2 linked regions of the Arabidopsis thaliana genome follow. The protein of the gene in region 1 purifies or fractionates together with the protein of each later gene. This does not show direct contact. Each region holds a gene or a part of one and is shown on either strand. Other genes may lie near its edges.

Region 1 (3,926 bases):
TAAGCGTCTGGGTCAAGAACTATTCTATATGGGCTATATTCGGTTCATGTTAACTGAGAATTCGTATAACATATGGCCTTGTCGCCTACACTTTAGACTACTCTTAGTTTTGGTAGAGTAAGAGATGGAAAACCAAATATCATTAAGTACAAAAAGATAAACTGGTTGGTGCATTGGTGTTTAGAGATTCTTTTGAAAGGGTTCGTGTTGTAGTTAAGATGTAACCACTGGAAAAGTAAAGGCTAATAACTCCTTGAAGTTTTCAGATTCCTAAGAAAAAATTCTTGCTGTTATACAGTTAGTCATCAACCTAAAGCCATTTCTACTTTCTAGAGGATACAAGTAACAACTTCAAATCAGATTCTACGCCGTGTACTCAGACTCAGTGTAAGAAAACAAATATGAAACAAAATCAATGTATCAAAATATCACATTTGTGGATTCTGAAAATAGAAAAGAACAAAAAATAAATCCTCAAAACACTAATTCAGAAGAGAAGACTTTAGAGTCGATGGAAAAATTTGGAGAGAATAAAGAAACTTCTTGTCTCTCTAGTAACGACCAATACCCCAAACCCTGATAACTCCATCAGTGTATCCACTGAACAAAGTGTTTCCATCTGCACTCCAGTTCAAGCTTGTGCAGTAGATCACCTGCATTTTACATTCCACATTAGAACATATATAAACCACCTCAGACCAAAGAGTAACCAACAAATCAATATGGAATCACTTCAGACACTACAATCTAAGAAATCAGAGACTAGAGCTAACTTAAAACCAGGTTTCTCAATCTAATGTTAGCTACTCTCTTACGTACCAATCAAATCTTGTGAACTAACTTCACATGAGAGTATTCAGACCTTCCTTTATGAAAATCTCATCTTTTAAGGCAACGGCTAACTAATTCACAGAACTTAGAACTAGACAATTAACCATAAGATAGAGTGAGGAGAAATAGATACCTTGGTCTTGTTTCCGATTCCAGTAGAACCATCAGTCTTTTCAGCCTCAGCCTTAAGATCAACCTTCAAATCCTCAACAACAGACTTACTCTCGAGATCCCAAATCCTAATGCTATTCTCTGTTGCTGCACACAACCAGTACCTATTGGGACTGAAGCAAAGTGAATGAATAATAGAGCCAGCTTCAAGAGAATACAACTTCTTCCCTTCAGCCAAATCCCAAAGCAAGATCACACCATCTTTGCCACCACTGGCACACAACGAACCATCAGGTGACACAGCCACAGTGTTCAAGTAACCAGAGTGACCAGCAAGAGTGTTCCTAAGCTTACAATTCTGAAGATTCCAGACCTTCACAGTTTTATCCCAAGAAGCAGATACAATAGTTGGCACAAGAGTATTAGGACTAAACCTAACACAACTAACCCATTCCTTGTGACCATCAGCTTCAGAGATGGTATACTTACACTCACCAAGCGTGTTCCAAAGCTTAATCGTACGATCACGAGAAGCAGAGACGATCTGACGGTTATCGGTAGAGAAAGCAACAGAGAGAACATCTTTCGTGTGACCAACGAAACGACGAGTAGATTCTCCGGTAGCGAGATCCCAGAGACGAAGCTCACCGTCCCAAGATCCGGAGAGAGCGAATTGTCCATCGGAGGAGAGAACAACGTCTTGAACGAAGTGAGAGTGACCAGTCATCCTCCGCTGAGCAACACCGTATGACTTGTCTTCCTTTGTGAGTTTCCAGAGGATGATTGATTTGTCACGCGACGAAGTTACAATCACGTCGGAGTTATCGACCGGTGTAGCAATGGCGGTGACCATATCAGTGTGGGCACACATTGTGCCTTTCAACACGAGTCCTTCAGCCATGGTTCAGGGTTTGAGGTCGAGATTTAGGGTTTCGGCGACAAAAATGGGAGAGGGCAAAATGGAGGTAACGAGAAACCGAGAGTATTTATAGTTAGAGATAATTAGGGTTCTTTGTTTTCATTTGTCAATAGTTTGGGTCTCTTCATTTGGGCCAGCATTAAGGCCCGGTATTCTACCCAACTTGGTTTCATGTTGGGACAATTATGGAACCGAGATTTATATCTTTCTGTTTGGAACGCTTAACCAGAATTGGTATAGCTTGTTACAAGTCAATTTGATAACCACATGAGTACATGACATGACAACTTTTTTTTCTCTCTTTTGGGCAAACCCCATGAGAACTCTACCGAGAAGTTATTGTCAAAAATTGAAATAGACTCAAAAGTCGGTTCAATTAAAGTAAACAAACCGAGTTTGGCCATTTCAACTTTTATTGTAAGAACTAAGAACACAACTTCGACTGTCCCTGTGGAAGATATAATTTTACATGTCCGAATTCCGGAGAAGAAAAAGATGAAGTGATTGATTAAATTGAAATCGATCACATCAACCATCTCTTTCTCTCGCCTGCAAAGTTATCTCCTTTTCAAACCGAACGAATCAATTCGGGAATCTTCATCTTTCTACGTGTTTTCTCAGCTATGTATCTCTGGGTTCGACTTCAGTAAAAGCTTCACCAGCCATGGATTTCGTTAGGTTCTTGTTCGCTTCATCTTTCTTTGTAATTGCTTACTGTTTTCGTGAAAATTCGAAATTTAGTGTTTTGCGTTCTCTATCTCTCTCTCTCTAGCACACTAATTCCAATTCCTTAGGAAGGGTTTTTGGTGAATAAAGTTAGGGTTTTTAATTGATTCAATACCTTGTGGAATAAATTAGGGGTTTTTGGAGGAAGCATAGAAGGAAGGTCTTGGTGACGGCTGGTTGTTTGGGAAGTGGGTATTTACTCTACAAACTATACAATTCCCATACTCGTAGGCTTGCTGATTTGGAACGAGAACTCGCTCACGAGCGTGAAAATGACGAAATCATCAAAACCCAGTTAAGTTCTGTGCTCATAAAAACTGATCCTTTAGACTTCAGTTCTTATGGATTCTCTAACGGACCTGTCTTGTTTGTACTCTTGTTTAGAATGAAAGCACATTTCGAGAGTATTCAGATGATTGTGGATTCGACCACACTGCCTCACGCAATGCAGTTTTTGAGTATCCGTATCAGCGAGGAGATCGATGTCTCTCATGTTATGGACAGACTGAACCAAGGGAAAGGAATGCTGAGTCCACCTGAGAAACTTCAGCTCTGGGATGAGCTCAAGATTTTGAGTATGCACTGCAGTCACCTACTCTTACTCTATCAAATTCTGTTTCTTACCTGTATATTCATGTTATTTGCCAGGTTTCACGAGGATGGTTTTGTCTCTGTGGTCTGTGACAATGCTTAGCTTATACATTAGGGTTCAAGTCAACATTTTAGGCAGACATTTGTATGTTGACACCGCTCGAGCTCTTGGCAGCTCTCATTTACTTGTAAGATAATATGCTTCCCCTCTTCTCTGTATTGGAGAATTTGCTGTTTATTAAACGATACTGCACATGTTCTTTACTGCTCTCATTTGCTCGCAAGTATGATTCAGTGTACTTTGCTTATCTCATCCCCAACAAGCTATTTCTCGGGGAAACTCACTGGTTGTTCTGTTAAGAACTTGTATAATTATGTCTCTAGTAGCTGTGTTTAATTGCGATAACGATTATGCATTTGACCTATCTGTGGACTAATACTCTGGAATCACCTATCTTTCTTTGATATAGTTCCAGATTACCTTTTAAAGCCACGGCCGCTTGTCCTGTGATCTGCTTGCCCTGTGAGCTTTCAACAGTGTATCTATTAAATTTGTTTCTTTTTGTTTGCAGGAAGAGGTAGATCTCATTGATAGAGATGATGAACAGAAGTTTTTGTCGAGTGCTGATTTTCTTGTCACCAATGCAATGCCAAGTTTGATTTCAGATATGCAGGGTTCAGCCGAGGAAGTCCTTAAAGGGTACATTGCAAAAATTCGTATCTAGATCGTTTATAATTTGACTATTGT
Region 2 (3,926 bases), on another chromosome or scaffold:
AGACTAGACACTTGTTTTAATTAATTCGACACTTCGAATTTGAAAATTGCAGATCATGTGGTCAACATTTGTCCCTCTTGTACCAAACAGTATCTTGCCTGGGACAACTGCTTTTGGTATTGCTGTGGCAGCTATAATCATGGTAAGCTTTCAAAAACTTTTTACTTTCCCCCCATAATTTTATCTGTAAGTAACGTGTTGACATTGGTTAGTCATATCAGTCACTTTTAGCCTCTAGGAGATTATCTCGAAACCTTTTTAACAAGTTTTCATATTATTAGCTTGGGTAATATTGTAACCATTTGCATTGAGCTAAGTGTTGGATGCCGAATCTCTTTCATTGCAATTTCGCTTCAGTCCTCGTGTTGTTATTGGGCTTTATGAACAAAAAAAACTATGTCAGGAAATAGGAGTTTTCTTTTTTATAGAAAAAAAAAATGGTGGCCTTGATGCTTTTTCTCCAAGTCTGTATTAGGATTCTCTGACAACTAATTCCTGGTTTCGTAGATCCTTCAAAACAACTGTTAAGATGTGTAGTTGTTTATATGGATAAGTGTTCTTCTTTTCTCTTAACTACCTACTGGTAAGAATGCAGGCTCGAACTGGGAAACTTTCAGAGAAAGGTGTTAGGTTTGTAGGGTCTTTATCTGGATGGACAGCAACTCTTATGTTCATGTGGATGCCAGTTTCCCAAATGGTATAACAACTCATTTTTTCTCTCGTTCTTTGAACTTTCTCCTAATTGCTCTTTCCCTATTGGATATCTGATGTTCTTCTACACTTCAGTGGACAAATTTTCTAAACCCGGACAACATAAAAGGCTTATCGTCAATCACAATGTTGCTCTCGATGATGGGAAACGGGCTTATGATCCCTCGAGCACTATTTATCCGTGATTTGATGTGGTAAATATAAGCTCTCTCAATTCGAAACCTTTCAGCTTAAACTATATTCACCCGTAGTAAAAAAACTGCTTGATATTCATTAAACCATGACGCAGGCTCACTGGTTCGCTATGGGCAACTCTCTTTTATGGATATGGAAATATTCTTTGCTTATACCTGTAAGAACCCTTGCACACAACTCTCTTTTGTCACAAGTAAATGAGTTTATCGATAATCCGGTATTCTCCACAGGGTAAATTGCACCAGCCAGTCATTCTTCGTGGCAGCTACAATTGGTTTGATCTCATGGATAGGTTGGTTACTTCACAGATACTCTCTCTTACATTATCATCGTTCCATTTTTGTTTTCCACCATATATTCAAGTGTGAGATGTTCATAAATCACTCTCTGAACGCATTTAACCGTTTCTTCCCCCATTTGTATGAAACAGGACTGGCTTTGTGGAGAGATGCAGTGGCTTATGGTCACAACTCGCCGTTTAGATCTTTGAAAGAACTTGTTTTTGGACCGTAATGAATGAATGTACACGCCATAAACGCCCTTTGTTCAAGCAAGTCCATAGAGATTACATGTATTTTCATTCTTTTTTCCTAAGGGTTATAAGACAACTACTCTGTAATTTCATGTATTTTTTTACTTGAATCATATAGTAAAATAATGTCTGATATCAAAAATAACTTTTGATATTGAACGGTCAAAAATCAAAATCGAAACATTCTCGGTTCAGCTTTGGCTATCGTTTTCCCGGGTTCAGCTTTGGCTATCGTTTTCCCGGTTTAGTCTGATTAGTTGGCTTAATATTTGTGGTCTTTAATCATAAAAGCCCAATTAGATTGGCCCAGATAAATCACAAGCCTCTTTCTTCTCTCACTTAGACAAGACAACCATTATTCACGGCGAAGAACATTTCCCCGAAAAACCCTAGAATCCCAAAATAGAATCCCTAAAAGAGAAAGAAAGCAAAAATGGAGGACACGAAGCCACCATTGGGAGGTAACAACAATCCTCAGCAGCAGCAGCAACAACAACAACTTCTCTATCAACACCAACTACAACAACAACAGAGACAACAACAAATGCTTCTATTGCAGCAATTGCAAAAACAACAACAGCAACAAGCAGCAATGTCTAGATTCCCGTCGAACATCGACGTGCATCTCCGGCCACCGGGGTTGATTCAGAACCGACCCATTAATCCTCCGCCTCAGCAGAATCCTACCCCTAACCCTAATTTGGGACAGCAGACACCGAATTTTCAACAGCAGCAGCAGCAGAATGTATCGAGTCAGCAGATGATGCAGCAACAACAACAACAGCAGCAGCAGCAGAAATTGATGAGGCCATTGAATCACATCGAGCTTCAATGCGCTTATCAGGACGCTTGGCGTGTTTGTCACCCCAATTTTAAACAACCCTTCTCTTCTCTCGAAGATGCTTGCGAGAGGTTTGTTGTATCAAATGCAAATTATCAAACTTTATATACTTTTGATGAAATTCATCAAAGCCGCAGCAATTAGTATAGTTTTCTAGTCTCAATTTAATGATATCAAACATTGATCTATCTATTAATAATTGAATTTAATGATCTATCACGTTTTTTTGGGTTTTGAGTTGTTATCTCCTTAGGAGTCGCCCTGAGGCTTTCTGTTGTCCTATTTGGTAGTAGAATTAGAATGATACTATATGTTAGCCTTTTGGTCAACTATAGATTGTGACTATAGATTAAAAACGGGATCTTTGTCTACTGGAAGCATGAGTTTCTTGAATAGGTATCTTTCTGAAAAAGGTAGATGCTGCATCTGTTATATTTTCCCTGTCTATAAGTATAAGAGATCCTGTTCTTCTCTCTGAGTTTGATGTGGCATCTCTGCATGGTCCTCATTTCTTTGAGATCAATTTGGAATTACGTCCTGTCTTTTCTCGTAAAAGCTATAAATACCTCCTTTTGAGTGTTGAGAAACATTACTGAGTTCCGTGGATATTACTAATTATTCTTGCTATTTTTGTTACCTGTCTTCTTCCATATCTGTGTGAAAAGGTTCTATTGACGTAATATTAGGTTTATAATTGCTAGATAGATCCATTGCCTTGTTTGAACATTCTGTTTCTGGTTTACTGCGGTCACTACTCACATTGCGTGTATTCTTACAACCTGTGCAGATTATTACCTTATCATGTCGTAGCAGATTACGAAGCAGAAGAGGATGATAGAATCCTTGATTCAGACCCAACAGGCCAGGCCTTGTCCCGCTCTCAACAATGGGATAACAACATTGCTGCGAAAGTTGCTGAATTCACGGCAACGTTTGAGAAGCAAGCACTAGCTTTTAACATAATAACTCGAAAGAGAGCTATGGGAGAATTCAGATCTGAGGAAAGGTTGATGGTAGAACAAGCTTTGCTACAAGATGAAAGGAAAGCGTTGATTGAACTGAAAGCAGAAATGGATAGGGAGAAGGCTGGCCGGGAGGCTCAGGAGGCTAAGCTGCGGATGGCGGCTTTAGCTCAAGCTGGACAGTCTCAATCTCATGCTGAGATAATGGCTCGTAACCCATTAAGGGCTAATGCGGTTGGAAATCAGGGCAGCAATATTCAGCTTAGCCACGAGATGGGAGAACAGGGACGTAACATGAACCCTGATGAGATGATGAATGGATGGGGAAACAACAGTCAGAGAGAGGACAAGGAACCTTCAGAAGATTTCTTGAATGATGAGGAGAATGAGAATGGAGAGACAGGGGAACAAGAAAACTGGCGTGAAGCAGGAGAATTTGATTTGAATAGCCGGTAAATGACCAAGGTGAAGACTATTTGCAGTCTCATGTATTAGAAACTGGAAAGGAAATTACAGTTGCTCTTGATATCACTCCAATTTCTATAGTTTCAAGCTGCTATATATGCCAGGTTCAGGTCAAGTATATGGGTATCTGATAGTCAGACTCAAAGCCTAATGATACTCTTGCTCTCCGCTATCTGAATTACCAATGATGGTTCCAAGTAAGCATTTCTTGTATCTGTTT

Evidence for each region.
Region 2: the proteins of PEX3 (region 1) and AT5G17510 fractionate together in Arabidopsis thaliana (co-fractionation; one large-scale study listed by BioGRID). This does not show direct contact.

The regions. Positions count from the first base shown.
Region 1 is NC_003070.9:17,981,426-17,985,351, forward strand, and holds the start of PEX3 (peroxin 3), read left to right. Parts: upstream 1-2,307; 5' UTR 2,308-2,525; coding exon 2,526-2,539; intron 2,540-2,719; coding exon 2,720-2,881; intron 2,882-2,971; coding exon 2,972-3,162; intron 3,163-3,235; coding exon 3,236-3,366; intron 3,367-3,473; coding exon 3,474-3,544; intron 3,545-3,648; coding exon 3,649-3,685; intron 3,686-3,750; coding exon 3,751-3,878; intron 3,879-3,926. Other genes in the region: RACK1B_AT (receptor for activated C kinase 1B), read right to left, coding at 552-653, 965-1,843. UniProt on the Arabidopsis thaliana protein: Involved in morphology determination of peroxisomes, but not in import of peroxisomal matrix proteins. May act as a docking factor for PEX19 and be necessary for the import of peroxisomal membrane proteins in the peroxisomes.
Region 2 is NC_003076.8:5,770,289-5,774,214, reverse strand, and holds the start of AT5G17510 (mediator of RNA polymerase II transcription subunit-like protein), read left to right. Parts: upstream 1-1,819; 5' UTR 1,820-1,871; coding exon 1,872-2,350; intron 2,351-3,066; coding exon 3,067-3,697; 3' UTR 3,698-3,903; exon of another isoform or gene 3,904-3,926. Other genes in the region: RCP1 (root cap 1 (RCP1)), read left to right, coding at 53-142, 596-697, 787-905, 1,001-1,063, 1,137-1,198, 1,337-1,419.